Stegostoma tigrinum: one gene and its partner. The protein of the gene in region 1 interacts with the protein of each later gene in a pairwise test. Links are inferred from orthologs where the notes say so. Each region holds a gene or a part of one and is shown on either strand. Other genes may lie near its edges.

Region 1 (14,828 bases):
AGAAAAAAAAGCAGCTTGCTGGGCCTGGATATTAAGAAATGAAAAACTGTTGAAGGCTGTGTTAATTGAAGATGTGGCAAAATCCCACGCAGCTTCAGCACAAGTATTTTGTGCGAGATTCAGACAGGGTTGAACACAAATAATTACATTTTAAGCATTTTCATGAAGGTGGTGAATAGGCAGTATTACAATATTAAAAGCCAACTGCTACTTCAATACTGAAATAACAGAAGATTCTTGAAACACCAGCAGGTTAGGAGAGAGAAGCCAAAATTTAACATTTCAGGTGATGAACCTCACACCAGGTGCAGTTGGCAAGCATAGACACTTGATTTTCATAACACTGGACACTGGGGTATAAGACTTTTTCTCTCGGAATACTTACATCAACCAAAGCCACTGCTGACTTCAGAGCTCACTGCCAAACATTTGTCAGCAGTTGGGAAGGTAAGTCGGTGTCAATTAAATTAAAGTCAACATTCTTCCGTTAGAATTTTTTCCCAAGCAGTAAACATCAAAAGGGAACTACAAGTATTAGAAAGAACTTCAGCAGTACAAGTGGAGGGGTGTGTACTTGGTACGAAATAGGACATACTTACAATAAATATCAACTCATTATTATTGTGAAACGTTTATCTGGCATAAAATGAAATATTCCAAGAGGTTCAGGTCTCTGTGTCTATCTATTTCAGAATAATTCATTAAATGATAGTTACCTGAATTTTTCTGGTTTGTAACTGGCTTCCCTTCAGCAGGAATGACATGTTTGAACACTTGTGATGTTTCCTGAACAACTTTTCTTTGTAGGTAAGCTTGTAAAAGGTCACCACTGGTTGCTATATTCTGAGCAAGGCTATATTGTGGCACTTCTGAGAAGTTTCTGGTGAAAGCCGCCAACTTCTCTGGACAAAGACCTATGACAAGTATCAAAAATGACAGTCAGGTTTGATGTCTCACAGAAAAATGCACTAAGTTCTTTTCAACACTAGTTTACATGCATTGGATTTATTGATTATATTCTGTCGCTTTACTGTTGCAAGCAAGGAACTATGCTCTGAATGTGATGCTAAAATTGCACCAATGATTTTGAACTGTCTTTGAAATGTTGTAAACCAGATCAAGTTGCTTAAAATGTGTGGGTAATTCTTTTGCAATTTCAAGCATTTACTGCAGACTAGATCAACCAGAGCTGTATACTGTGAAACAAACTACTTGAGACATTCAACAGGTTTTGCAGCATCTGTGGAGAGAGAAACAGAGTTAATGTTTCAAATCTGATCACAGTTTTTTGAAACAAATTTATATTTGTAAGTTTGGATAAGGATATCACACAAACTGCAGATGCTGGCGTCAGAGGCAATACAGTGTGGAGCTGGAGGAATACAGTAGGTCAGGCAGCCTCAGAGGTGCACAATTTATACCATCAACTTTGTTGCTCCTTTGACGCTGTTTGACCTGTTGTGTTCCTCCAGCTCCACATGTATTGGGTTGGATAAGGAGATCTGTTACCCATGCGTAATTTTCTACCTGTGCCAAAATTTTCACTAAATGCTGATGTAACTCTATCACTGTGAACTTATTTGGATCTATAAACAGATTGACTCTAGCTAGCCTTTAGCTTAATTCAAGTATAATACCCAAATGCAACAAAATTAGATCTGATTTTACTTTAACCATTAATTCAGATTCTAAAAAGACTGGCGCCAGGTGATTGGAAAAATTATAGTTACTTACAAATATATTTCATTAGCATCTCAATGCACTACACAATAAATTACTTCCTTTCGTGATGTAGCTGATATATATTTCCACAGTCTGACCTTTATTGCTAGGTCACCTGAACACACAGGGACTTGCAGACAGAAGACTTTGGATTTAATAGCAACAAATTTTGGAATGAACAACTTTTTACATGTGTCATCACAAAACACAAAGGAGAAATTTGCAAAGCTTGCTATGTTGCTAGATGGAAACAGAAGGTTCCAGAATCAGGTGCAGAGTTGGATGAACACAGCAGGCCAAGCAGCATCAGAGGAGCAGAAAGGCTGACGTTTTGGACCTAGACCCTTCTTCAAAAACAAAAAAAAGGGTCTATTCCCAAAATGTCAGCCTTCCTGCTCCTCTGAAGCTGCTTGGCTTGCTGTGTTCATCCAGCTCTACACCTTGTTATCTCAGATTGTCCAGCATCTGCAGTTCCAACTATCTCTACTCCCTCTCGAGTTCCAGAACCAGTTCTATTGCTTTATCTTGGGCCATAATCTTGACCAGTAGGGCTGCTTTATTAGAAACAGTACCGTGCAATTGTTAATGCACATCAATAATTACAGCCTCAGTGCTGCCTCTCCTAATAAGACAACATTCAGCTGCCCATGTGTCCGCAATCAATTGCTATAGGGAGGTAGCATCTTCTGCAAAATGAAATAAACGACTGCATTTCTTAGCACAATTGATGGTTAGGGAAGGAGGTGGGGAGAGGATGAGTGAGAAATATCAGATTTTGAGAGACTACACTCTTAAAAGATTTTTTTTAAAATTTACTGGAGACAAAATAAGTGACTCAATCATATGACGTGAAACATTGTGATGCTAAATAAAAACAGAAAAATCTGCAGATTTACTGTAAATCAGGGACAAAAAGGAAGTTGCTGGAATAGCTCAGCAGGTCTGGCAGCAGTGAAGAAGAAAAAAACTCAGAGTTAACAGTTTCGGGTCCAGTGACCCTTACCCAGAATACATTATATGAAGCTTGTGGCCAGCAGTATAAATCACTGCAGAACACTATGTTCCCAGGTGGCTTAACAATAAATGAAATGTCAGACTTTGGAAATATTCAACTATGTCACTGCAAAAAAAAAGTAATTTATCGAATAGCAAGTTGAGACACTAATGAAAGATATTTTATAGCTAGCCATAATGCAGTAAATGGCGTTTATATAAATGACTCATTACCAAGATTGTTGTGCAAGGAATATCTGAGAATTAAGAGGTAAGTAAGCTAGTTTTTTTTTAAAAAAGCTAGTTGCTACAGGTATTGTCTTTATTTTACTCAAAGTTCACACTACAGTTCATAATGACGATACCATTGTTCACGTTAAACTGCGAGCGTCATGGCCATGCAGTAGTCAGATTGTAACAGTGCAATTTGAGATTCTCTACATAGGGCCTGGGATCTGTGTGACCAGAACATCCAAGTGCATATCCCTTTAGCAGATCAGACTAACAATCATCAATTTGCACTGCAGTCTGAAGCAGAAAGACCATAAGACATAGGAGTGGAAGTAAAGCTATTCGGCCCATCGAGTCCACACCGCCATTTAAATCATTGCTGATGGACATTTCAACTCCACTTCCATGCATTCTCCCCATAGCCCTTGATTCCTTGAGAGATCAAGAATGTATCGATCTCTGCCTTTAAGGCATCCAACGTCCCGGCCTCCACTGCACTCCGTGGGAATGAATTCCACAAGCTCACCACTGTCTGGCTGAAGAAATGTCTCCTCATTTCAGTTTTAAATTTACACCTCTAATTCTAAGGCTGTGCCCACGGGTCCTAGTCTCCCCACCTAACGGAAACAACTTCCTAGCGTCCATCCCATCTAAACCATACATTATCTTGTAATTTTCTATTAGATCCCCCCCCCCAACCTTCTAAACTCTAATGAATACAATCCCAGGATCCTTAGCCATTCATCATACGTTAAACCTACCATTCCAGGGATCATCCGTGAGAATCTCCGCTGGACACGCTCCAGCACTAGTATGTCCTTCCTGAGGTGTGGGGCCCAAAATTGGACACAGTATTCTAAATGGGGCCTTACTAGAGCTTTATAAAGTCTCAGAAGCACATCACTGCTTTTATATTCCAACCCTCTTGAGATAAGCGACAACATTACATTCACTTTCTTAATCACGGACTCAACCTGCAAGTTAACCTTCAGAGAATCCTGGATTAGCACTCCCAGATCCCTTTGTACTTCAGCATTCTGAATTTTCTCACCATTTAGAAAATAGTCCATGCCTGTATTCTTTTTTCAAAAGTGCAAAACCTCACATCGAATTCCATCAGCCATTTGCTGGACCACTCTCCTAAACTGTCTAAATCTTTCTGCAGCTTCCCCACTTCCTCAGTACGACCTGCCTGTCCACCTAATATTATATATCAGAAAACAAGAAAAAACTGAATTATGAAACAGATTTTTAAAAAAGTAAAAGCATCTCCCATCATTATAAATTGAAGGAATCAAACTCCACACTTGTAAAACTTATTCTCAGTGTTTACAGAGGTCGCTTGGCAATAATTAAGATTTATCACACTTAAATTTTTGCTTACATGGGAACAGGCAGGCCGTAACTTGTACTGACAAATTTAAGAGATTAACAGAATTTAGTAAATTCCTAGAGTTCGAAACTACATAGTTATGTGTATGTATATCCAGAATGCCACAACACTCATTACTGGTCAGATACACCACGTGGGAAAATCTAGGAAACACAATTGAAAAAAGCTCCAGCATTTTGTTTGTTAAAGCAGGATTGTTTTAAAACTCTGGGAATGCTAAGATCTATCGTGCGAGAACAGAGACTTCATCATACCCCCCCAATCTATCTGAACACCGAGCCTGGAGAGATTCTAGTTCGATCAGACCTTCAGATTGTCTCTGATGGAAAGCAGCTTCCTTATTTCTGCGATAATGGGAACTGCAGATGCTGGAGAATCCAAGATAATAAAATGTGACGCTGGATGAACACAGCAGGCCCAGCAGCATCTCAGGGGCACAAAAGCTGACGTTTCGGGCCTAGACCCTTCATCAGAGAGGGGGATGGGGTGAGGGTTCGGGAATAAATAGGGAGAGAGGGGGAGGCAGACCGAAGATGGAGAGAAAAGAAGATAGGTGGAGAGGAGAGTATAGGTGGGGAGGTAGGGAGGGGACAGGTTAGTCCAGGGAAGACGGACAGATCAAGGAGGCGGGATGAGGTTAGTAGGTAGGAAATGGAGGTGTGGCTTGGGGTGGGAGGAAGGGATGGGTGAGAGGAAGAACAGGTTAGGGAGGCAGAGACAGGTTGGACTGGTTTTGGGATGCAGTGGGTGGAGGGCAAGAGCTGGGCTGGTTGTGTGGTGCAGTGGGGGGAGGGAACAAACTGGGCTGGTTTTGGGATGCGGTGGGGGAAGCGGAGATTTTGAAGCTGGTGAAGCCCACGTTGATACCACTCCCCCTCCCATCCTCTAGATGGCAAACTATTTCCACTCCCCCTCCCATTCTTCAGATGACATGTCCACCATGGGCCTCCTGCAGTGCCACAATGATGCCACCCGAAGGTTGCAGGAACAGCAACTCATATTCCGCTTGGGAACCCTGCAGCCCAATGGTATCAATGTGGACTTCACCAGCTTCAAAATCTCCCCTTACCCCACCGCATCCCTAAACCAGCCCAGCTCGTCCCCTCCCCCCATTGCACCACACAACCAGCCCAGCTCGTCCCCTCCACCCACTGCTTCCCAAAACCAGTCCAACCTGTCTCTGCCTCCCTAACCTGTTCTTCCTCTCACCCAGCCCTTCCTCCCACTCCAAGCCACACCTCCATCTCCTACCTACTAACCTCATCCCACCTCCTTGACCTGTCCGCCTTCCCTGGACTGACCTATCCCCTCCCTACCTCCCACCTATACTCTCCTCTCCATCTTCAGTCCGCCTCCCCCTCTCTCCCTATTTATTTCAGAACCCTCACCCCATCCCCCTCTGTTGAAGGGTCTCGGCCCAAAACGTCAGCTTTTGTGCTCCTGAGATGCTGCTGCGCCTGCTGTGTTCATCCAGCCTCACATTTTATGATCCTCATTTCTGCACTGACTGACTGCTGGTGCTTCAGTTATTCCTAAATCTGGCCTGACCCATTAGGCATTACATAGACAGCTACAACCTGAAAAGAACGTTCTTCGCTCTTGTACTTGACTCATATGATCCCAGATCAGAAGTTCCAACAGTCCAAAAGACCCAGATAACACAGTGTTGCAAACGGACCAGCTGAAAGGAAACAACTGCCGAAAACTAACTTGCGTTCCAACCCTCCCTCTCTTTGTTGCTTTTGTTTTGCCATTCTTATTCCTTTGCAAGTTAGCAGCATTGCCCGTGCCAAAAAGTGACAGCGGTGCAGGTCCAAGAAGCAACAGTGCCCCGGGAATTCGGCACAAAGAAGATGTTGTAACCCTGTAGGTCAGAGAAATACATACTGCCTGCAGGCCTTAACGGTGATTCAGCATTTACCGAATTCTGCACAAACTCCATTCGCGGGTCGGAGCAGCTACCATTCACACAAGCAGACCCCTAAGCACATACCCACAGACACACACTGCATGGGACTACAGATATCACAAAGGGATAGCTTAGTTCCTGCTCTCCAACAAAGACAGGCTGCGGAGAGGGACAGGAGAACGTTCTCACCTGCTGGCATCCTGTAACGAGGCTCACTCAAAAGATCCCTTCTACAGAAGACACTGGTTTCTGCAACTTAAAATAGCCTGAGCAGCTGCAGCGTCTTAGAGGAATAACCGGAAACAGGAAACTGAGACAACTTGAAGCAGTCCAGAGACTGAGGCAGCCTGGTGTCTGTCAGGAACTGGCGGGGAGGGGGCTAAGCCTGGCCTTTGTTCAACAGCGGGATCGGGACTACGTACAATGTCATTTTTGGAAATTGAGATGTTGTAATTTTCGCTCAAATGGCAAAGAAAGAAAACACCCAACACTGTTACACACCTTGACGACAGAATGCATTCCATTTGTACAGAGGCTGTGCGCTCTTTGCTGCGGGAAATAACACAAAACTTTAACGATTTGGTGTTACTTCAACCAAGAAAACCTCTATCCCTAGCTAATTGCAAGATCGACAAAATAAGTTAGGAATTTATTTAATAACTTTGATTGCTTTTGAAGGATACCCCTATAAATAGGAAGAGCGGAAAGTACTGTTATTCGCATGTAACTGAGCTTCCGAAATTTCAGAATTTTCGAAGGATCACTTCCGTCCGAAGGAAAGCATAGCTAAAACCCAGCTGAGTAAAAGGTCAAACACTGCCGTTCAGGAATACCCCTTCACTTTGCGGATAGCAGGAAAAAAAGAAAGCTTCTAAGGCTATATAGCTGGCACCGGTAACAGTGCATTGGAATCTCAGGAGCGCAAAAGCTAACGTTTCGGGCCTAGACCCTTCAACAGAGAGAGGGATGGGGTGAGGGTTCTGAAATAAATAGGGAGAGAGGGGGAGGCGGACCGAAGATGGAGAGTAAAGAAGATAGGTGGAGAGGGTGTAGGTGGGGAGGTAGGGAGGGGATAGGTCAGTCCAGGGAAGACGGACAGGTCAAGGAGGTGGGATGAGGTTAGTAGGTAGGAGATGGAGGTGCGGCTTGGGGTGGGAGGAAGGGATGGGTGAGAGGAAGAACAGGTTAGGGAGGCAGAGACAGGTTTTGGGATGCAGTGGGTGGAGGGGAAGAGCTGGGCTGGTTGTGTGGTGTAGTGGGGGGAGGGCACGAACTGGGCTGGTTTAGGGATGCGGTGGGGGAAGGGGAGATTTTGAAGCTGGTGAAGTCCACATTGATACCATTGGGCTGCAGGGTTCCCAAGCGGAATATGAGTTCCTGTTCCTGCAACCTTCGGGTGGCATCATTGTGGCACTGCAGGAGGCCCATGGTGGACATGTCATCTAAAGAATGGGAGGGGGAGTGGAAATGGTTTGCGACTGGGAGGTGCAGTTGTTTATTGCGAACCCAGCGGAGGTGTTCTGCAGAGCGGTCCTCAAGCTTCCGCTTGGTTTCCCCAATGTAGAGGAAGCCACACCGGGTACAATGGATGCAGTATACCACATTGGCAGATGTGCAGGTGAACCTCTGCTTAATATGGAAAGTCATCTTGGGGCCTGGGATGGCGGTGAGGGAGGAGGAGTGGGAGCAAGTGTAGCATTTCCTGCGGTTGCAGGGGAAGGTGCCGGGTGTGGTGGGGTTGGAGGACAGTGTGGAGCGAACAAGGGAGTCACGGAGAGAGGGGTCTCTCCAGAAAGCAGACAAGGGTGGGGATGGAAAAATGTCTTGGGTGATGGGGTCGGATTGTAGATGGCGGAAGTGTCAGAGGATGATGCGTTGTATCCGGAGGTTGGTGGGGTGGTGTGTGAGAACGAGGCGGATCCTCTTTGGGTGGTTGTGGCAGGGGCGGGGTGCGAGGGATGTGTTGCGGGAAATGCGGGAGACGCAGTCAAGGGCGTTCTCGACCACTATGGGGGGCAAGTTGCAGTCTTTGAAGTACTTGGACATCTGGGATGTGTGGGAGTGGAATGCCTCATCGTGGGAGCAGATGCGGCGGAGGCGGAGGAATTGGGAATAGGGGATGGAATTTTTGGAGGAGGGTGGGTGTGAGGAGGTGTATTCTAGGTAGCTGTGGGAGTCGGTGGGCTTGAAATGGACATCAGTTACAAGCTGGTTGCCTGAGATGGAGACTGAGATGTCCAGGAAGGTGAGGGATGTGCTGGAGATGGCCCAGGTAAACTGAAGGTTGGGGTGGAAGGTGTTGGTGAAGTGGATGAACTGTTCGAGCTCCTCTGGTTTTCACTATGGACGTCCAGTCCCTATACACCTGTATTCCTCATGCAGATGGCCTCAATGCCCTCCGCTTCTTCTTGTCCCGCAGGCCCGACCAGTCCCCCTCCACCGACACCCTCATCCACCTAGCCGAACTCGTCCTCACCCTCAACAACTTCTCTTTCGATTCCTCCCACTTCCTACAGACTAAGGGGGTGGCCATGGGCACCCGCATGGGCCCCAGCTATGCCTGCCTCTTTGTAGGTTACGTGGAACAGTCCATCTTCCGCACCTACACAGGCCCCAAACCCCACCTCTTCCTCCGTTACATTGATGACTGTATCGGCGCCGCCTCTTGCTCCCCAGAGGAGCTCGAACAGTTCATCCACTTCACCAACACCTTCCACCCCAACCTTCAGTTCATCTGGGCCATCTCCAGCACATCCCTCACCTTCCTGGACGTCTCAGTCTCCATCTCAGGCAACCAGCTTGTAACTGATGTCCATTTCAAGCCCACCGACTCCCACAGCTACCGAGAATACACCTCCTCCCACCCACCCTCCTGCAAAAATTCGATCCCCTATTCCCAATTCCTCCGCCTCTGCCGCATCTGCTCCCACGATCAGGCATTCCACTCCCACACATCCCAGATGTCCAAGTACTTCAAAGACTGCAACTTTCCCCCCACAGTGGTCGAGAACGCCCTTGACTGCATTTCCCGCAACACATCCCTCACACCCCGCCCCCACCACAACCGCCCAAAGAGGATCCGCCTCATTCTCACACACCACCCCACCAACCTCCGGATACAACGCATCATCCTCCGACACTTCCGCCATCTACAATCCGACCCCACCACCCAAGACATTTTTCCATCCCACCCTTGTCTGCTTTCTGGAGAGACCGCTCTCTCCGTGACTCCCTTGTTCGCTTCACACTGCCCTCCAACCCCACCACACCCGGCACCTTCCCCTGCAACCGCAGGAAATGCTACACTTGCCCCTACACCTCCTCCCTCACCGCTATCCCAGGCCCCAAGATGACATCCATATTAAGCAGAGGTTCACCTGCACATCTGCCAATGTGGTATACTGCATCCATTGTACCCGGTGTGGCTTCCTCTACATTGGGGAAACCAAGCGGAGGCTTGGGGACCGCTTTGGAGAACACCTCCGCTGGGTTCGCAATAAACAACTACACCTCCCAGTCGCAAACCATTTCCACTCCCCCTCCCATTCTTTAGATGACATGTCCATCATGGGCCTCCTGCAGTACCACAATGATGCCACCCGAAGGTTGCAGGAACAGCAACTCATATTCCGCTTGGGAACCCTGCAGCCCAATGGTATCAATGTGGACTTCACCAGCTTCAAAATCTCCCCTTGCCCCACCGCATCCCAAAACCAGCCCAGCTCTTCCCCTCCACCCACTGCATCCCAAAACCAGTCCAACCTGTCTCTGCCTCCCTAACCTGTTCTTCCTCTCACCCATCCCTTCCTCCCACCCCAAGCCGCACCTCCATCTCCTACCTACTAACCTCATCCCACCTCCTTGACCTGTCCGACTTCCCTGGACTGACCTATCCCCTCCCTACCTCCCCACCTATACTCTCCTCTCCACTTATCTTCTTTTCTCTCCATCTTCGGTCTGCCTCCCCATCTCTCCCTATTTATTCCAGAACCCTCACCCCATCCCCCTCTCTGATGAAGGGTCCAGGCCCGAAACGTCAGCTTTTGTGCTCCTGAGATGCTGCTGGGCCTGCTGTGTTCATCCAGCCTCACATTTTATTAACAGTGCATTGGAAATTGACTTTCACATTACATGCAGGCAAGGAAGGAGCTCAAAAATGGTCTGAGGAGAGCCAGGAGGGGGCACGAGAAAGGCTTGGCAGAAGGAATCCGGGAAAACACAAAGGCATTTTACACTTACGTGAGGAATAAGAGAATGGTCAAAGAAAGAGTAGGGCCGATTAGGGATAGCATAGGGAACTTGTGTGTGGAGCCTGAGGAGGTAGGGGAAGCCCTAAATGAGTTTTTTGCTTCTGTCTTTACGAAAGAAACCAACTTTGTAGTGAATGAAACCTTTGAAGAGCAGGTGTGCATGCTGGAATGGATAGAGATAGACGAAGCTGATGTGCTGAAAATTTTGTCAAACATTAAGATTGACAAGTCGCCAGGCCCGGATCAGATTTGTCCTCGGCTGCTTTGGGAAGCGAGAAATGCAATTGCTTCGCCACTTGCGAAGATCTTTGCATCCTCGCTCTCCACTGGAGTCGTACCTGAGGACTGGAGAGAGGCAAATGTAATTCCTCTCTTCAAGAAAGGAAATAGGGAAATCCCCGGCAATTATAGACCGGTAAGTCTCACGTCTGTCGTCTGCAAGGTGTTAGAAAGGATTCTGAGGGATAAGATTTATGACCATCTGGAAGAGCATGGCTTGATCAAATACAGTCAACACGGCTTTGTGAGGGGTAGGTCATGCCTTACAAACCTTATCGAGTTTTTTGAGGATGTGACTAGAAAGGTTGATGAGGGTCGAGCTGTGGATGTGGTGTATATGGACTTCAGTAAGGCATTTGATAAGGTTCCCCATGGTAGGCTCATTCAGAAGGTCAGGAGGAATGGGATACAGGGGAACTTAGCTGCTTGGATACAGAATTGGCTGGCCAACAGAAGACAGCGAGTGGTAGTAGAAGGAAAATATTCTGCCTGGAAGTCAGTGGTGAGTGGAGTTCCACAGGGCTCTGTCCTTGGGCCTCTACTGTTTGTAATTTTTATTAATGACTTGGACGAGGGAATTGAAGGATGGGTCAGCAAGTTTGCAGACGACACAAAGGTCGGAGGTGTCGTTGACAGTGTAGAGGGCTGTTGTAGGCTGCAGCGGGACATTGACAGGATGCAGAGATGGGCTGAGAGGTGGCAGATGGAGTTCAACCTGGATAAATGCGAGGTGATGCATTTTGGAAGGTCGAATTTGAAAGCTGAGTACAGGATTAAGGATAGGATTCTTGGCAGCGTGGAGGAACAGAGGGATCTTGGTGTGCAGATACATAGATCCCTTAAAATGGCCACCCAAGTGGACAGGGTTGTTAAGAAAGCATATGGTGTTTTGGCTTTCATTAACAGGGGGATTGAGTTTAAGAGTCGTGAGATCTTGTTGCAGCTCTATAAAACTTTGGTTAGACCGCACTTGGAATACTGCGTCCAGTTCTGGGCGCCCTATTATAGGAAAGATGTGGATGCTTTGGAGAGGGTTCAGAGGAGGTTTACCAGGATGCTGCCTGGACTGGAGGGCTTATCTTATGAAGAGAGGTTGACTGAGCTCGGTCTCTTTTCATTGGAGAAAAGGAGGAGGAGAGGGGACCTAATTGAGGTATACAAGATAATGAGAGGCATAGATAGAGTTGATAGCCAGAGACTATTTCCCAGGGCAGAAATGGCTAGCACGAGGGGTCATAGTTTTAAGCTGGTTGGTGGAAAGTATAGAGGGGATGTCAGAGGCAGGTTCTTTACGCAGAGAGTTGTGGGAGCATGGAATGCGTTGCCAGCAGCAGTTGTGGAAGCAAGGTCATTGGGGTCATTTAAGAGACTGCTGGACATGTATATGGTCACAGAAATTTGAGGGTGCATACATGAGGATCAATGGTCGGCACAACATTGTGGGCTGAAGGGCCTGTTCTGTGCTGTACTGTTCTATGTTCTATGTTCTAAATACTTTGCATCATCATCTGTCGGCATGTTATTTGTAGCTGCAGCTGTGGAGATTATCCATCCTGAGTGTCACTGCTGTTTCCCAAAAAACCCAATGTGGCACATCTTGCTGTGGGTGTATAACATATTGTAATGCCTTCAAGTAGCTGTTTAATAAATGTTAGTATTAGTAATGGTAAAAGCGAATAAAGAACAGCAAAAATGCTGCATTTGCTGCTGGGACTAAACAAGGGTTGCCTAACTTTCCAGGAACAAGAGATTTACAGTTGATGAATGATGACTTCCCCCATCCTAGACCTAGTCAATTAAATACATTCTGGCTTGTTGTGCCTGACACTGCAGCACTCTGTCACAGTGAAGCTGATGTCCTTCTTGCTCAATATTCCGCTTGGAACCTGTCCCAGCTCTTAAGTATCTATTACACCTCTTCTTTGCCTGCTACAGTTGTAGCATAACAGGATTTTGCAGGGCCCTCTGTCTGGACTGTACTGGAAGGCCAGACCAGACTATTCCAAGCCATCAGAACAGCAAGGCTGTCCTCTAATCCATGTTGGCCTTGGTGGAAGAGTGAACTGCATTGCTCACCTTCTGTGAATGTTTGCATAGTAAGGCCATGCCCTATGGTTACAGAGCATAACCCTTATCTCCCAGCATCTGTCCTTTTACAGCATCTAGCCCTTGAACTGAAGCAGGAACATGGGAATTCCGAAGGATATAGGTATCTTGGCATCTTCCAGGGCACCTGTTGCAGACTTCTAAGATGCGGGTGGAATGGAACTCTTTTCCATTAATGAGTCCATCACTTTAGGATATGGTAATGTCACTCCATATTGTACCGTGGAGGGAAGCTAGTGACGTTGGCAAAGCCTGGACTACAGCACTGAGAGTCATCACAAGGAACCAAGATGAAGGAGTGTGATTTGGCACAAATTGCATTGGTAACAGCCTTGATCCATTTGTGGGTTGAGGGCTGAGAGATCCTACAGATACCCCGTGGATCCTTGGAAGGATCCAGTTCCATAAAGACTTAGCATATAGGGTGGTCACCCAGTAATATTCCCTCTAAGCTGTGCTGCTGCATGTGCAATGTTCTATACATGCTGATTGATGTCAGCACACCAATCATGGCATTGATTCCTGGTTGCCATACATGGGCCTTGGAGGCTATTTGGTTGAAGCACTTACACAGTGTTTGCCACATACACTGCTGGTACATAGTGTAGGTGTGACATTAATATTGCATGGTGCCAAACAGCAACATGCCTATTCCCTTAAGTGGTCATTATTGATGTAGCAGGCCAGCTGACTTTATCTCTACACTAAAAAGCAGAGATAGAAATCGTGTGAAACTCTGAGCACTGACTGAGGCAAAAAAAAGGCAAGACAGAGATGCTGTGGGCATCCAAGTATGATGTGAAGGTGCCAGCGTTGGACTGGGGTAGACAGGGTCAGAAATAAGACAACACCAGGTTATAATTGAAATCAGAAGCTATTGAAGCATTGCCCCTTCATCAGGTAATGATATTGGTGAAGGGTAGGAAACAAAAACAAAGTTGCTGGAAAAGCTCAGCAGGTCTGGCAGCATCTGTGGAGGAGAAAACAGAGTTAACGTTTCAGGTCCCGTGACCCTTCCTCAGAACCCTTTCTCTACAGATGCTGTCAGACCTGCTGAGCTTTTCCAGCAACTTTGTTTTTGTTCCTGATTTACAGCATCCGCAGTTCTTTTGGTTTTTATTTGGTGAAGGGTAGTATCAGTTTCAGTTATTTAAGAGCTGGATTTTCAGACAGAAGTATTTGCTGTAGAAGCAGAGGGGAAAAGACTGAAGTCAGCAGATATACAGAGTCACACCTGGGAAAATTCAGTCCCCAGAGAATAGATTCTTATTTATTCTCAATTATAGTTCTGTGCTGGGTTAACTGATAGCTGTTTAAGTGCAAGTGGCAATGCTACAATTAGTGACATTACATTAGGGACAAAAGAAACAGGTTGCTTACTGTGGGATATAATCTTGGCTGGTGGAATGCATAAGCCAATAACACAATAAAGGTGGCAAGATTTTCCATGCTTTTCTCAGCAATATTGCCAATGGTGCACATGTTTGAGGAAATCATTTTAATAACCCTTCTTCAGAATCAATTTGGATATTCTTAGCATTAGCAACAACAGTTACATGTACCAATATATTGATACGCTGATGGGCAAGTGAGTGTTCAAATAGCATGGGGGTAGGGGTGAAGCCATCATGACCCGAGGTATTTCAATTATAAGAACATGCTGATGGTTACAGCTTCAATTTTTTTTTCTCTGCAACCTTTAATCTCTGAGACAGTTTTTCTAAAGATATTAACCCAATTTATGGCTGCACTGCAGATGTGTAGAGTTCACAAAGGAAATGTTACAGAAAAAGCATAGAGATTTTGCATATAACTTCCTTATTCTATTTTTTATGAATAGATAAATCTCAAATATTGCAACTTTTTTGATGCCTTATATCATGCCACTTAATCTTTGTAGTCCAAATATTATTAACAAATAATTCAGTGGAATGTAGGAGGCAGA
Region 2 (15,498 bases), on another chromosome or scaffold:
AAGTTCACTCTTGGTCAGGTTTATTGTTAAATTGGCTCTTTGTAACAGGTCAAACAATTTACAATTGTAAATGCTCTTTTGAAAGAAAAATGCTGTGGGTACTGGAAATCTGAAGCATACAAGGAAAATACTGATGCAAGCGTCTCCAGCATTTCATCTTCATGAATGATCTTCCCAATTCTAGCTGAACATGATCAAACCATCATTATATCTAACATAGTTGCACAAACCTTAATAGCTTTTTTTCTTAATGATTGCAAGGTCGCTGGTGCATTTTTCATTCTGAACGGCATAAATTCATGCTGATATAGTCCACCTGGAATTACGACAGCTGATATTTCTTTGATTGGATTGTTAAATGGTACTTGCCATTATCCCTTTAATGAATCAATTTTTGTCACCAACCATGCTTCTCCAAGCTTTCCAATACAATCCTTCAATCATGGAATCAGATAAAAATCCACACTTGTTGCCACATTGATTTTCTGAGAATCTATGCAAAATCATTGCTATCCATCTAGTTTGATAGCATCACAATGGGTGAGCTCAAGTACTATGATTTGGTGCAAGGATGGCATTTCCCTTCATGAACTTGATTCTTCCCTCAAATGAGCTAACTTTTCTGACTTGAGTTTGTGAGAATTACATTAACATCATGTATGATCAAAGGTGTTTTCCCTGGTCTATTTACACTTGATTTATGAACAGCTGCAATAGATTTCATAAGACACCTTGGTAGTTTTCTGGAAGGCAGCATCATATTCCATCAAACATTTTAAGCACTTCCATTTGATTACTGGAGGGCTGACTTGAAAATTTTCAATTTCTGATTGATTCTCAAATGCTCTGATGTTTTTCTTTTACTCCCTACTTCTCTCACCACAATAAACACATTCCACTCATGGTTATCTTGCCTGTCATTGTAGAACTTTCACATATTAGCAAGACACACTTACAGATTCGTCTTTATGTCTGGAGTATTCACTCCATTTCACATCATTTAATTTCTGTTTGATTTGATATAGTCCAGTGAACCTCTCTTTTCATGGTTCCCCAGAGACAGGCAACACCAACACTTTGAATGGAATTTTCTTTTCTGAGGCTAAATATCATCATGATCCTAAAAATCCAGAAGGACTTCTGCTCAAGTTCTGTTCAGTTCTTCAGAGTTGATTATATATTTTACGACTCTGTTTTATTGCTGGGAGGACAGCAAGTCTTAGATACCACCAGGTCCTTCGACACTTGAACCACCAGGAGTTACATTTAAAAGACAATTTCACTCTATATCTCTAAGGCTATCAAATCAGTTTCCACCCAAACCTGCAAATAATAGAGAGTAGCCAGAAGGCAGTCCAACATTTAGTGGCTGCTCCATTGAATCGCTCTTCCAGGGTATGCATGAGGATAGGATTATCTTGTTCTCCAGGCATGACAACAAGATTCATCCTGCTGGAAAATTGCAAGGTGGTTTGGAGATTGCTGAAGACGTCAGCACACAATCGCACCAGAGGCATGATGAGATGCAGTTCCATAAATGGATGAATGAGCTACTCAGTCAGGGTAGGTATGACAGTCTACTCAGTTCTGTGTGACCCTAAAACTGTGTCCCATCATAATAAGCTTGCCCCCACACAAACCATTGGGTGTGGAATGCATTGCTGGAGAGGGTGGAGGAGTCAGCATCATTAGGGGCATTTAAGCAGCCATTAGACAAGGATATGGATGATACCATAATGTAGGGGTGGAGGTTAGATAGGCCTTAGGTTCCGGGCAGAATTTCAGCACAACATCGTGGGCCGAGGAGGCTGTACTGTGCTGTACTGTTCTATGTCCTATGTTCTATCACAGACACTCTTAGGTGATATCTCAATCACTTGCTTCATGTCTAATCAGTATTTTGAACTTAATTGCACTTCGCCATGTTAGCCAAAGAGTAACACAGTGATACTACATCTCACACATCTGCCATGGTTATACAGTCATTGAAGTCATATAGAGTCATACAGCACAGAAACATACCCTCTGGTCCTACCAGTCCATGCCAAACATAATCCCAAACTAAACTACTCCAACCTGCCAGTTCTTGTTTCATATCCCTCCAAAAATTTCCTATTCATGTACATATCCAAATGTCTTTTAAATGTTGTAATTGTGTCGGCACCCATCACTTTCCTAGGAGGTTCATTCCACACATGAATTTCCCTCTGCATAAAAGAAATGCCCCTCGTGTCTTTTTAAATTATCTCTCTTCTCAAGTTAAATAGTGTCCCTAGTCTTGAAATCCCCATCCCAGGGCAAAAAACACCTACGATTAACCCCATCTATGTTCCTTATGATTTTATAACTTCTATAAGATCACCTCTCAACCTCCTACACTCCGGAGAAAAAAGTCCAGCCTTTCTTTATAACTGAAACCTTTCATACCCAGCCACATCCTGGTAAATCTCTTCTGAACCCTCTGATGTTTGATAATGTTCTTCAAATAACTGGGTGACCAGAACTGCACACAGTACTCCAGAAGGGCCCTCATCAATGTCATGTACAACCTCAGCCTGACTTCCCAACTCCAAGACTCAAAGGACTGACCAATGAAGGCATATAAGCTAAACATTCACTCCTCAAACAGAAAGAGATCTACAACATTCAGTAGCTCATTCACCTTATAACTAGAATAATCTGTTCTTCAAACAATTTTACAAAAGGCTTGAAGAGCACAGAGGAGACAACCTCAAAACCTTGCTTGACATTCAACGCCTCATATAAACATGTCGTCATGCACAGATGTCTTATAAAGCTTGATTAAATTCCATAAATCAAGATCTTTAACCACACAACGCCACTTTTTATTCAAACCTCATTCAATCACAATGTTTCCAAAACACTTTCTTCTCATTCAGAACATATATATAGTGTCACAGCTCTGCAACTTTACATCTGTACCTGTCCCTATCAATACAAGCAAGCTGTTCACATTGCCATGTTGATTGCTTTATGCCTCTATCTTTCTACAGGACAAGATATTGCACAACCAGAGAGACATTGCAAAGAGAAGCAGTAGAAAGCCCAAAGAATAATTTTATAACCTTAAAAAGAGCTAAATCCTTCCAGAATTGAAAAAATGAAAGCCATTTTATTATTCACTTTTGAACCCAATACACTCCGTAACAGATGTTAAACCTCACATGCAAAGTGTGTGTTTTCTTTTTATTCATTCATGAGCTATGAGTATCGTTGGCTGGCCAGCATTTATTGCCCATCTGTAGCTGCCTTTGAGAAAATGACAGGGATCTGTGTTCTTGAATGCTGTGGTCTATTTAGTGTAGGTAGATCCACAATGCCATTAGGGACGGAGCTCCAGGACTTCGACCCAGCAACACTCAAGGAATGTTGTTATATTTCCAAGTCAGGACTGTGAGAGGATTAGAGGAGGATTTGCAGCTGGTGGTGTCCCCATGCATTTGTTGAACTTGTCTTTCAACATAGGAGTGGGCTTGGGTTGGGAAGGTGCTGTCTAAGGAGTTTTGGTGAAATTCTGCAATGTATCTCGTAGATGGCACACACTAGAGTGATTGAGTTTGGTGGTAAAGTGAATGAATGCTTGTCAGTGTGTCAATCAAATGGGCTGATTTGTCCTGGATGGTGCCAAGCTTCTTGAGCATTATCAGAGTTGAACTCATCTAGGCAAATGGGGAGTATTGCATCATACTCCTGACTGTGCCTTGCAGATGGTGAACAGGCGATGCAGAATCATGAAGTAAGTTACTCACTGTAAGATTCCTTGCCACTGGCTTGCCCTTGTAGCCATTGTATTTATATGGCTTATCTAGTTTAGTTGCTGTTCAATGGTAAGCCCCAGGATGTTGACTGTAGGCTCTTCAGTGATGGCAACACCATTTAATTCCAAGGAATGATGGTTAAATTCTCCTTGTTGGAGATGGACATTGCCTGGAATTTTTTTTATTCATTTGTGGGATTGCTGGTTGTGCCATTGAGAAATATATAATGAGCTGCTGCCTAGAACTACTGCAGTCCATTTTCTATAGGTAGATCCACAAGGCCATCAGGGAGGGAACTTATGTGATGTGAATGTTACTTGTTACTTTTCAGTCCAAACCTGTATAGTGTTGATATTGTTGCATTTGAACATGGGTTGCTTCAAAATCTGAGGAGTCACAAATGGTGCTGAACATTCTGCTATCATCAGCAAACATTCCCACTTCTGACCAGATGATGGAGGGAAGGTCATTGATGAAGCAGTTGAAGATCATTGGACCTAGGACATCACTCTGAGGAACTCCGGCAGAGGCATCATGGAACTGCGATGATTGACCTCAATGTCCACAACCAATGTCCTTTAAGCTAGATATGGCTGCAATCGGTGGGCACTTTTCCACTGACTCTCACTGATTCGAGTTTTGCTAGGACTTGCTGGTGCCACACTCAGTCAAATGTGGCCTTGATGTCAAGAGCTGTCTCTCTTCCTTCACCTCCGTTTTGTCCATGTTTGACCCAAGGCTGTAATGAGGTCAGGAGCTGAATGGCCCTGGTGGAATTCAAACTAGCGGTCACTGAGAAGGTTATTGCTGAGCAGCTGCTGCTTGATAGCACTGCTGATGACAACTTCTATCACTTCTACATGACCAAGAGTAGACTGATCGGCAATAACTTGTCCTGGATTTGTCCTGCTTTTTATGTACAAAACATACCTGGACAATTTCCTGCATTGTCACATAAGATGTCAGTGTTCTTTTTTAAATGAACTTGCTAACTAATGGCATAATAATTAATGACTGATTTAGTTAAACAATGAGGTTCCTTGATTTCTCTACCCAAGCTAGATTTACCTTTCGAGGTAAAAATAGACTTCCCTATTCTCCTACCAAAGCATCCAAACCCTCATGGTTACATCTAAAAGGATTTGTGCATATTGAAGTACATTTTCTTCCGAAGGTTGACAGGGCTGTTAAGAAGGCATACAGTGTTTTAGCTTCTATTAATAGAGGGATCGAGTTCCAGAACCAAGCGGTTATTGGTGAAGCTGTATAAAACTCTGGTGCGGCCGCACTTGGAGTATTGTGTACAGTTCTGGTCACCGCATTATAAGAAGAATGTGGAAGCTTTGGAAAGGGTGCAGAAAAGATTTACTAGGATGTTGCCTGGTATGGAGGGAAGGTCTTACGAGGAAAGGCTGAGGGACTTGAGGCTGATTTCATTAGAGAGAAGAAGGTTGAGAGATGACTTAATTGAGACATATAAAATAATCAGAGGGTTAGATAGGGTGGATAGGCAGAGCCTTTTTCCTAGGATGGTGACGGCGAGCATGAGGGGGCATAGCTTTAAATTGAGGGGCGAAAGATATAGGATAGATGTCAGAGGTAGTTTCTTTACTCAGAGAATAGTAAGGGAATGGAACGCTTTGCCTGCAACGGTAGTAGATTCGCCAACTTTAGGTACATTTAAGTCGTCATTGGACAAGCATATGGATGTACATGGAATAGTGTAGGTTAGATGGGCTTGAGATTGGTATGACAGGTCGGCACAACATCGAGGGCCGAAGGGCCAGTGCTGTGCTGCAATGTTCTATGTTCTATTTAAACTGCTGCTTCCGCTCAGCTTTAACACAATTATTTCTAGTTTTTCTTCATTCCAACTAAACGTTTTTTTCTGGCAGCGTTTTTATTGCATGCCCTCCACACCGCCAACCCCATAATAGTTACAATGCAGACAGCCATTACGAATTGGTAAAGAATGCAGGCTTTAACAGTGCATCAAGTTGGTGATATTGACATTTTAGTCATTCTAAATGAGGACTCAGATTTTCAATGAGCAGCTAATTAGACATGGGGTCATGTAAGTGTTACATTGATTTTTTACAATAGTATCACAAACCAAGGGAGAAGAAACAGAAGGAAATGTGAAAAGATGTAATAAACAGATTCTGATTTGTCCCCATTCTTATTAACACCTCCTTAGCCTCAGCCTACTGCACTCTACAGATCACAATCTCAACCTCCTGTCCAGACTTTCTCAAACCAGAAGAAAGGTTTGGCATTAACATGCACTGATAAGCATGTCGTTGCCAGCACCATTTTATTCATAGCCTTGTGATTTAATCTAATACTGGACTCAATTTCACTGAACGAATCACTTCAGTAGTACATGAAACTACTTCAGAGTGATCCAGGTTTGACAGCAGAAGACAGTCTGGATCAATACTACCTTCAATAGTATTTCTGTTATTTATTCCCTATGAGAATGAAAGCAGAAAACAGGAAAAATGGACATCCCAAGGGAACAAATGAAAACAGCTCAGCAAGGAAGCTTCTTGTGCGGGATCACTCATAGTGGCATTTTTCGTGGGCCCAGTAGAACTCAATGACAGGTCTGGCAGGTAAATACGACAACGGCATCCTGGCAAAACATATGTGAATGTATGCAGTGGATTGATATCCTCAACAAGAATCAGACTGGTTAAAGAAGCTCAATTGTATTCTTAGGTGTACAGGCTAGTGTGTTTTCAGACATATTGTAACCTCTCCTTCTGCTGTGCATGTCTTTTTGAGCAACTGTTGGTACCATTAAACATATGACTTTTGTAGCAAGGACCATCTCCATTACATGTGAACACATGGGGACCCCAGCAAAATGGGGTAAATCCAAACAAAATGGGTTTCTGCCACTTTTTCCTGACATTCGCACCCAAGGAAATGGCTGAATGTATTGGATTCATTGACCTCCTTCCTCTGATCAATGGGGGCAGAGGGGGTGCCATCAGCTGTGGCTCAGTTAGCAGCATTCTTACCTCTGGGTCATGAGTCGTACTCCAAGATTTCTAAACAAGATTGTACGCTAATGCTCCATATAGGTAATGAAACAGTGTCATGCTGACAGAAGTGGCACCTTTGAACTTGAGTAGCACGTGCATATAGCACACTGTCTTCCAGTCATGCAGAGCCCACATTCAAGACTGACTTGTGTGTCACAGGAATATTGGTTAGTGAAAGGCTGATCTGCTGCCTTTTGAAGTATCTGGTGGCTAATGGGAAGGTATGTGGCTTCCATTCTGCCACTTTCCGATCCCTAGAAGATTAGCTTTTTCTCTTTTCTGACCTGTCCAATGTTTCTACCAGAGGATTTCAGCACATGTGCTTTTTATGCAGACACCCAGCAACTGCTGCTTCTAATTCTGGGATAAATTTCACCTATTCCCCATGATGATGACAGAAATATGGGGAATCAAGGCAGAATGTAAATGAATAAAATATTGGGTGCCACAAAAATAATTGAAGTGGGAAATAAGTTGTAACAGCACAGATTGGTTTGGAGGAGTCAATGATCATTGAAAAATCATCTACAATGGAAAAAAAAGGTGCAACATAGACCAGATTGTTCTCCAGTGTTTTTTATTTAAATTGTTCATGGGATGCCAGCTGGCTAGGCCAGCATTAATTATCCATCCCTAAACAACTTGAAGAAGATGGTGATTAGCTACATTCTTTATCCTTTACAGTCCATGCAAATAGGTACACTTACAGCACTGTTCGGAAGGAAATTCCACCAAGGGGCCTGAGGCTGCATCTTTCAAACTCACGGCCACTACCATCTAGAAGGACAAGGGCTGTAGATAGATGGCAAAACTGTGTGGAGTCAGTCCCCACACTATAAGAAAGATGTAGAGACTTTGAAAAGGGTGTTGCTTAGACTGGACAGTATTAGCTGTAAGGAGAGGCTCGACAAACATGGATTGTTTTCACTAGAGTGTCAGAGGCTGAGGGATGACCTGTTGGAAGACCCTGGGTCGGATAGATAGTCAAAATCTACCTCCCAGGTCGAAATGTCAAATACTACAGGGCATAGGTTTAAGGTGAGAGGGGCAAAGTTTAAGGGAGATTGCAAGGAAAGTTTTTAACACTGAGGGTGGTAGGTGTCTGGAACACACAGCCAGGGTAGGTGGTAGAAACAGACGATAGCGATGTTTGAGAACAGTCAGAGAATAAAAGGACAAGCACCTTATGCAGACAGTTGGGATTAGTTCCCAATAGCATAATGGTTGGCACAGACATAGAGGGCTGAAGGGCCTGTTCCTATACTGTACTGTGCTATGTCAGTGTCTTGACTTCATTCATTTAGTGTCACAGGGTCAAAATCCCGGAACTCTCTCCCTAACAGTGTTGTGGATCTCACTACAGCAAATGGACAGTAACAGTGCAAGAAGGCAGCTCACCCCCAGTCTTCTCAAGGCTAAGCAGTAATTCTTGCCCAGCCTACTTTCATGAATGCACTTAAAAAAAAGGTTGGGGTTAATTTTGGAGCATCAGTATTTAGTACTACTACGAAAATGTTATCAGGGTTTATAGTCTTTTTAGTATTATATGCATCACTGGGCTACCAGCTGGAAGTCAAACCCTACAGAAGTCCCCAATTTGCCACCGTCATATCAGATTGACAGAGAGTATTTCCATCTCGTCCTCTCTATATTAATGATTGTCTTCAGATTCTGTCGGTTACAGTTTAGATGCAATGACAGCAATTGCAATGAGCAAGTTCTACACAAAAAAAAACAGAAGTGGCTGGAAAAGCTCAGCAGGTCTGGCAGCATCTGCAAAGAAAAAAAATCAGAGTTAACGTTTCGGGTCCGATGACCCCTCCTCAGAATTGAGGGTCACCGGACCTGAAACACTAACTCTGATTTTTTTTCTTCACAGATGCTGCCAGACCTGCTGAGCTTTTCCAGCCACCTTTGTTTTTGTTCCTGATTTACAGCATCCACAGTTTTTTTTATCGGAAATCCAACAAGTTCTGCAATAACTACAACTCCCGGAATGCAACGAGCGAAGCCGGGAGCTTCTCAGTTATAAATTATTACATCGCCGATCTTCGCGTATTTAGTTTAATACAAAAATAGTGGCGGCTCTAGTTTTAAAAAGATGTTGCACCTTTTGGCCCAGGATATTATTTTGGAATGTGTCAATGTGCTCTGAACTGTCAGCTGTAACCTCAGGAAGCTATTGTCAGCTTTCACACTGAGATATTGACCGCGCCCCCGCAGCCTGACATTGGGTTTGACTGTAAGTTTGCGAAGTATCTCAGTATCGTAAAATGTTTGCATTCACCCAGCGCTCGCAGTCCTTGAAGGGAAACAGTGAGTCACCCTAAATTTAAGCCAACCATTAATTTACTGTTCAAAAAGGCTGGAGTCTAAAAATGACGTTGAGTCTCTGCTTTGATTATTAGTCCCGGAAGTTCATCCAGTTTCGTGGCAGCAGTGCACTGCGAGAAGGATGAAGTTTTTAGGGGTTGCAAAGGAGCTCGGGTGGCCTGAATTCGGTTTCGTGCTCAGCATTGAACCGAATAAAGAGAGTAATCCTCGAGTTAGTGATTGAATCAATAGGTAAAATTCAGGGAATAGGCAACGTGGGCATGCATAAGCTGCTATCTGCAGCATACTTTGCAAGTTATTCATATTATTTAAGTAGTGGGACAAAATTTTATATATAAACGTGAAACAAGGCGATTTCTTCGAAAATTGAGTGGCGAATCGGTTAGCTAGTTTTTCATCCCACTTCATTACACGCACTGGTTGCCAGCTGGCAGCTTTTTATTGTATGTTTCTGCTGGAAGACTGACTGGATCCTGCACTCCATCCATATCGAGTTAACACAACAGCCTTCAAGAATCCGCACTAAAAACAGCACTGAACAAGACAAACATCATGTGGGAAGAAGAACATAAACAGGATTAGAGATAATAGGAACTGCAGATGCCAGAGAATCTGAGATAACACGGTGTGGAGCTGGATGAACACAGCAGGCCAAGCAGCTTGAAGAAGGGTCTGGGCCCGAAACGTCAGTCTTGCTGCTGGTCTGACGCTGCTTGGCCTGCTGTGTTCATCCAGCTCAAAACCTTGTTATTATAAATAGGGTTAGCAAGCATATCGTGTGTGAAAACTGATCTGGGAACAGAAAGAGGGACAAATTTTCTTTAGAAACCCTGCTGGAGTAAACAGGGCATTTGACCCAACAAGTCCACACCCACCCACCGAAGAACATCCCACCATACCCATTCGCCTAATCCTACATTTTTTCTGTCCAGCAAATCTAACCTACGCAACCCTGAACACTGGGTAATTTAGCACAGCCAATCCACCTAACCTGCACATCTTTGGGTTGTGGGAGGAAACTAGAGTACCCAGCAAAAACCCACCCAGACACAGGAAGAACATAGAAATGCCAGTCGCCCGAGGCCAGATCGAACCTGGGTCCCTGGCGCTGTGAGGCAGCAGTGCTAACAAGTTTATGAAGAGGATAGAACTAGGGAAATGGAGGAGAGACAAGTTAGCATATCCAAAAATTTGTAACATGATTATAAGAACAGGACAGTTTACTGGGAGTTGTGATTAAGAAGACACAAAGAAAAACCGAGGGGGCGAGCAGCTTCCGAAATCCATTAGGTTCAATGGCCTGTAGTTGACAGGGAGAAACACAGGTAGATGCCAGATATACCAACTATCCTTCCAGCTGTGTCAGGAAAAGTGATCCCTATTCCATATCCTCCATATACCAATCCTACAATACCAGACTCCTTTTGAAGAATAAGAAGGAATCTGTGATTAAAGTGATAAACTGTTAATATCAAAACCAGTGAGCTACAAAAAAAGAATTAGTTGCTCTTCCTCAAGCCTCATTCCAATGTAGAAATGCAAGGATAGAGTTCAATGCGCCAAGTGACTGGTGTCCCTCTTGCTGATGGAACAGATATGCTGTATGAAGCAGTTAACCACACTATTTGTCTCCTCAGTGTGGATAGGCCCACAGTAATGATTAGTGAATACAGTTATTAATTTGGCAAAAGTATGAGCTAATCACTGTCTCACCTGGAAAAATATTTAATGTAATTGGTTATTTATGGAATGAATGATAAATTATAGGCGATAAAGTAAAAATTGCTCAAACCTATCATGGTAGCAAAAGTTGTAAAAATCCTGAAATCATACTTTCTGCTTATACAATACATTTTTAAAAAAAATTCATTGTAGATATACAGATAATTTATTTTTAAATTGATTCTTGTGTACTTTGATATTTTGATCTTTAAGGGATAATTTATATGTATTTTATAAACATTTTTAATTGGGACACAGCAAATTGAAAAATGCCAGCTGTAAAGTAATCATTGTTAGCAATCAATTTTAAAATAAAAAAAATAGAAATTGTATGTTGACACCATTCTGTGTACAAAATGCCTATCAGGGAATCTTAACGAAATAAAAATGGAAAATGGTGGAAATACACAGCAGCTCAGCTAGTATTTCGAAAGGAAACAGCAGGTTAATTTGCTGTGTGTGACCTGTACTCAGAACTAGAGAATTAATAGTTTTGAAGGCAGATCTCACCTGAAGAATCCTATCTTTATGGTTCTGATACTTCCAGCATTTAAATGATATTTCTAGTGTTTGTGATTTTTTTTATAAAGGATTATTTCTGTTAATCAAAAATTGTGTTATTGTTTAGTATTTATAAGTCCTTTACACCTCACATTAGTTCCACATGTGCAACAGACTACGTTACTTGCATTGAGTGTAATTTACTCCCTGTATTTACTTTGCCAGATTAGGTGAAATACAGATGGCGAATGCTGAAAACAGTCCTGAGAAAGAAATGGTCATACAGTTCCTCCAGAATGCTGCTACAGGAGATACAGAAAAATTGTCAACTGTGTTAAATTATTCTCTGTCTCTCATCAACAAAGTCGATGAAAAAGGTTGGACCGCCTTGATGTATGCTAGCAGGAATGGACATTTTGAAGTTATTCAGCTGCTTCTTGAAAAAGGGTAAAGTGGCAGTCTTTAACGACTAGTTTTGGCAATTGCTCAGTGATAGCTGAGGGCACTGTGCTGTAGCTAAGCTTAGTGGTTCACATTCGATAAAAGTACTCCTATTTTAAGTAACTTTTTTGAAATTTAACATGACTGTGATGACCAAATTAAGATTGAGGTATTCTGAAACAGCATCTAAGCATCTTTTACTTGGCTTCTCGTAGAAATTGACAAATCACACGTTTACAGCCAATAACATTCTATCATCTAAAATTAATTAACAGAAAATTTGTAAACTAGGTGTGTACCATTTTATGGTGGCACTGGCAGAAAACAGCTAAAGCTGTTGTGGTAATTTTGTACAGTGCCTGAAGCAGCACCTGCACAAAGAGTGGTAAACTGAACCATGAACCACAACACGATAACTAATTTTGTTTAAATTTATGTGAAATATTAAAAATAACTGTTGAAAAAATTCCTTTTACAAAACAGTACAGATTTATATTAATAAAATTACCCTGATCTACAGTTTACAACCCACTTGCAATTCGAGATAGGAACATGATTATAAACTGTTCAAAGCATCTTCACTTTGCAGAACGGTTTCAACACTCCTTTTTTTTTGATTGAAATTTTCTGCATTCTTTCAAAAGCTTTGACATTTCAGTAGATATGTTTCAAGCAATGGCAAGTAAGATGTGGTAACTAGGGGATACGGTGGCTCAGTGGTTAGCACTGCTGCCTCACAGCACCAGGGACTAAGGTTCGATTCCAGCCTCGGGTGACTGTCTGTGTGGAATTTGCACATTCTCTGTGTGCCTGCCTGGGTTTCCTCCAGCCGTTCCAATTTCTTCCACAGTCCAAAGATATGCAGGTTAGATGGATTGTCCATGCTGAATTGCCCATTGTGTTCAGAGATGTGTAGATTAGTGGGATGGGCCTGGGTCAGATGCTCTGAGGGTCAGTGTGGACATGTAGGGATGAAGAGTCTGTTTCCACACTGTAGGGATTCTATGATCTATCATCTTACCATTAGTTATGAGTGAGGCACATTTGGTCTTCTGGACTTGCTGCATTGGTTTCTGCCAGTCGCATTATTGCAAGCTTCTATGTTAAAGAGATTAGAATGTGAGAAACCTGAGTGACTTGCAGCCAGGGCTACAAGTTGGAAGAATCCATCTTTGTAAGACTGTGCTATTCATTAGATAAATTTGCTGAGTCACTGCAGACCTCACAACCTAATCAATAACTTTGTTTCGGAGATAGCAGGAACTGCATATGGTGGAGAATCTGAGATACCAAGGTGTAGAGCTCGATAAATGCAGACCCTCCGGTCTACCCCCGAATCGTCAGCTTTCCTGCTCCTCTGATGCTGCTTAGCCTGCTGTGTTCATCCGGCTCTACACCTTGGTACCCTATAGCTTTGCATTGCGTATTGTTTACACACTGATTTCTATGTGGCATGTTCTAGCTGTTTTGGCCAAATGGCTGAAACACAATCTAGTTAAAATATTTTAGCAGTGACCAGCAAAGTTCCACTAGTCTCCTAAGTACCTCGGAATTGGCTGATAGTGTTAGTTTGTAAAGTCTTCAAAAATAATCTTAAAACTTAGGTCAGAACCCTGTCTTGTACTAAATCTAATTTAGGGCACTGTACACCTTTTGTTTTCCTCTAGGTGTGATAAATCTATTTCAAATAATTCAGGACAAACAGCACTGGATATTGCAGAATTCTGGGGACACAAGCACATTGCTGATTTGTTGGCAAACCCTAAACCTGATGCTAGATCAAGGATGTGGTACGATGGCCCAGAAGAAAATGAGAATTATTTTGGCAGAACTTTGCTCAATAGATTAAGTTTAAAAAGGACCAATTCTGATTGGATAAAAAACAAACAGATACAGCCGACCACTGTCTATATTTTATTTTCCAATCTAAATCCATTAGTTATTTCAGCAAAATGTGAAGACTCTGGAAAAACTGACATCCACCTCTGCAGATTGCAGTATGGTGATGTGGAGCAGCTCTTGGCTAATCCAGAAGTCACTTCTGTTTTCCTTGGAGCAGAGCAGCAGGGTGTGGCTTGTGCTAAATTTGCAGTAGGAAGTGCCTTAGCAGAAGATAATGGGCTTATTGCTTGGTTTGCAATAAATGCAGAAATTGTAGCTCCTGAAAACTTTAGGGTTAAATACCCAGATTGTCATTTTCTCCAGCCACTCATCCCACATCTATTGACCTTAAATAAGGAAGAAGCCGGTGAGTACTAATACATTTAGAAATGCAACCTGCACTCTGTGGATGTGAATAGGAAAATTAAACAGTCATTGCATAATCTGTATTTTCACTTATATTGTGCTTGAGTTGTAAAATTACAATAAAATACTCGATTAGGAATACTAAAGGCATGGAATAAGAAAAGGGTATCAGCATAATCCTTTTCAGTGTCCTGAAAATAGGTTCTGCAACACTTTTCCCTTACCCTCCCCAAAGTTAATTTAAAATTTGTATTCTGTTTGAAGTATTAACCAGTTGTCTTCCATGATATGACATTTCAATGAGTTCAGAATACAGGGTCCACAGTTTTCCATAACCCAGTTCATTATGTTTCCTGTTTTATCCTTACTGTCTTCGATGTAATTCCTAAGCAGACTGTTCTTGAAGATGTTTATTAGCACTGCTTTAAGTATTGTATCTGGGAGTCTAATCTACCTCTCTTAAAATCAGCTTAGAAGGAGACCATTTGTTTTCTGGTATCCATGCTGACTCTCTACAAGAGCAACCCAGGACCATTGTCCACACCTGCACCTTTCCTCTCAAGCCGTGCAAATCTTTTCTTGTCAGATCATTAACAAATCCCTTTTGAGAGGCACCAGTTGAATTTGTCTCATCACAATTCAAGCAATGCATTCCAAATCCTAACAATATTGAACATAAAAAATATCCTCATGTTGTCTTTGGTTCGTTCCCCAATTACTTTAAATCATTGTCTGGTTGTACACAGCGTTACTGACAGTGAGAATAGTTCCAGATCGCACATCATTTTTAAACACTTCTCACATATGCAAAATGCAGAATGGGGTCCTCCTCATCTGGAAATTTTTATAGATACCTTCTCTTTATTCTCATGTCCTGCAGTTCTACATTCAGAGATCAAATGCCAAGAATTTTCAATCCGTCTTATCCCCTTTAGCATTTGAAAAATCTGGTCCATATTTCTTCTTTTCACTAAAGAAAACCAGTTCAGTTCCACCATACATGATTGTCATGGGATAAGTATGGCTTCAGTAAGAGGGACTATTAACATGCATGGAAACTTTTTACATTCATAGTTTGAAGTTGTCTATTAACTTAGCACTTTTATGGCTGTATTCAGTTCACTGTCCTTGTAAATCATTAATGATATTATAGTTGGAACACCTAAATATTGAAGGCCCTGTTTTGAAGATTAGTTTTATGGTTTAAGTTCAGTCTTATCTAGCTCTTAATTCATAACAATTGACTTTACTAGGAATATGCTGAGTATTCAGTACTTCAGCCAATTTCTTAAATGCGTTTGGGTGGCCGTAGCTTTTTAAATGTTCATGGTATACTGTGATTGGTACTAGTAGATTCAATAATGCATTAATATATTAAAATTTAGAAAAGCAGGCGGTATTGTTATCGCAGAATCCACTGCATG

What was found.
Region 2: the proteins of blmh (region 1) and nudt12 interact in binary tests that used the Homo sapiens proteins (3 or more experiments, as listed by UniProt). The two-hybrid records come from large-scale screens. The link is inferred for Stegostoma tigrinum from reciprocal best matches to the Homo sapiens genes BLMH and NUDT12.

The regions. Positions count from the first base shown.
Region 1 is NC_081380.1:30,030,717-30,045,544, reverse strand, and holds the start of blmh (bleomycin hydrolase), read right to left. Parts: upstream 6,728-14,828; 5' UTR 6,448-6,727; coding exon 6,438-6,447; intron 915-6,437; coding exon 717-914; intron 1-716. UniProt on the Homo sapiens protein: The normal physiological role of BLM hydrolase is unknown, but it catalyzes the inactivation of the antitumor drug BLM (a glycopeptide) by hydrolyzing the carboxamide bond of its B-aminoalaninamide moiety thus protecting normal and malignant cells from BLM toxicity.
Region 2 is NC_081356.1:83,479,690-83,495,187, forward strand, and holds the start of nudt12 (peroxisomal NADH pyrophosphatase NUDT12), read left to right. Parts: upstream 1-9,018; 5' UTR 9,019-9,071; exon of another isoform or gene 9,072-9,145; intron 9,146-9,281; exon of another isoform or gene 9,282-9,394; intron 9,395-11,611; 5' UTR 11,612-11,627; coding exon 11,628-11,833; intron 11,834-13,494; coding exon 13,495-14,075; intron 14,076-15,498. UniProt on the Homo sapiens protein: mRNA decapping enzyme that specifically removes the nicotinamide adenine dinucleotide (NAD) cap from a subset of mRNAs by hydrolyzing the diphosphate linkage to produce nicotinamide mononucleotide (NMN) and 5' monophosphate mRNA.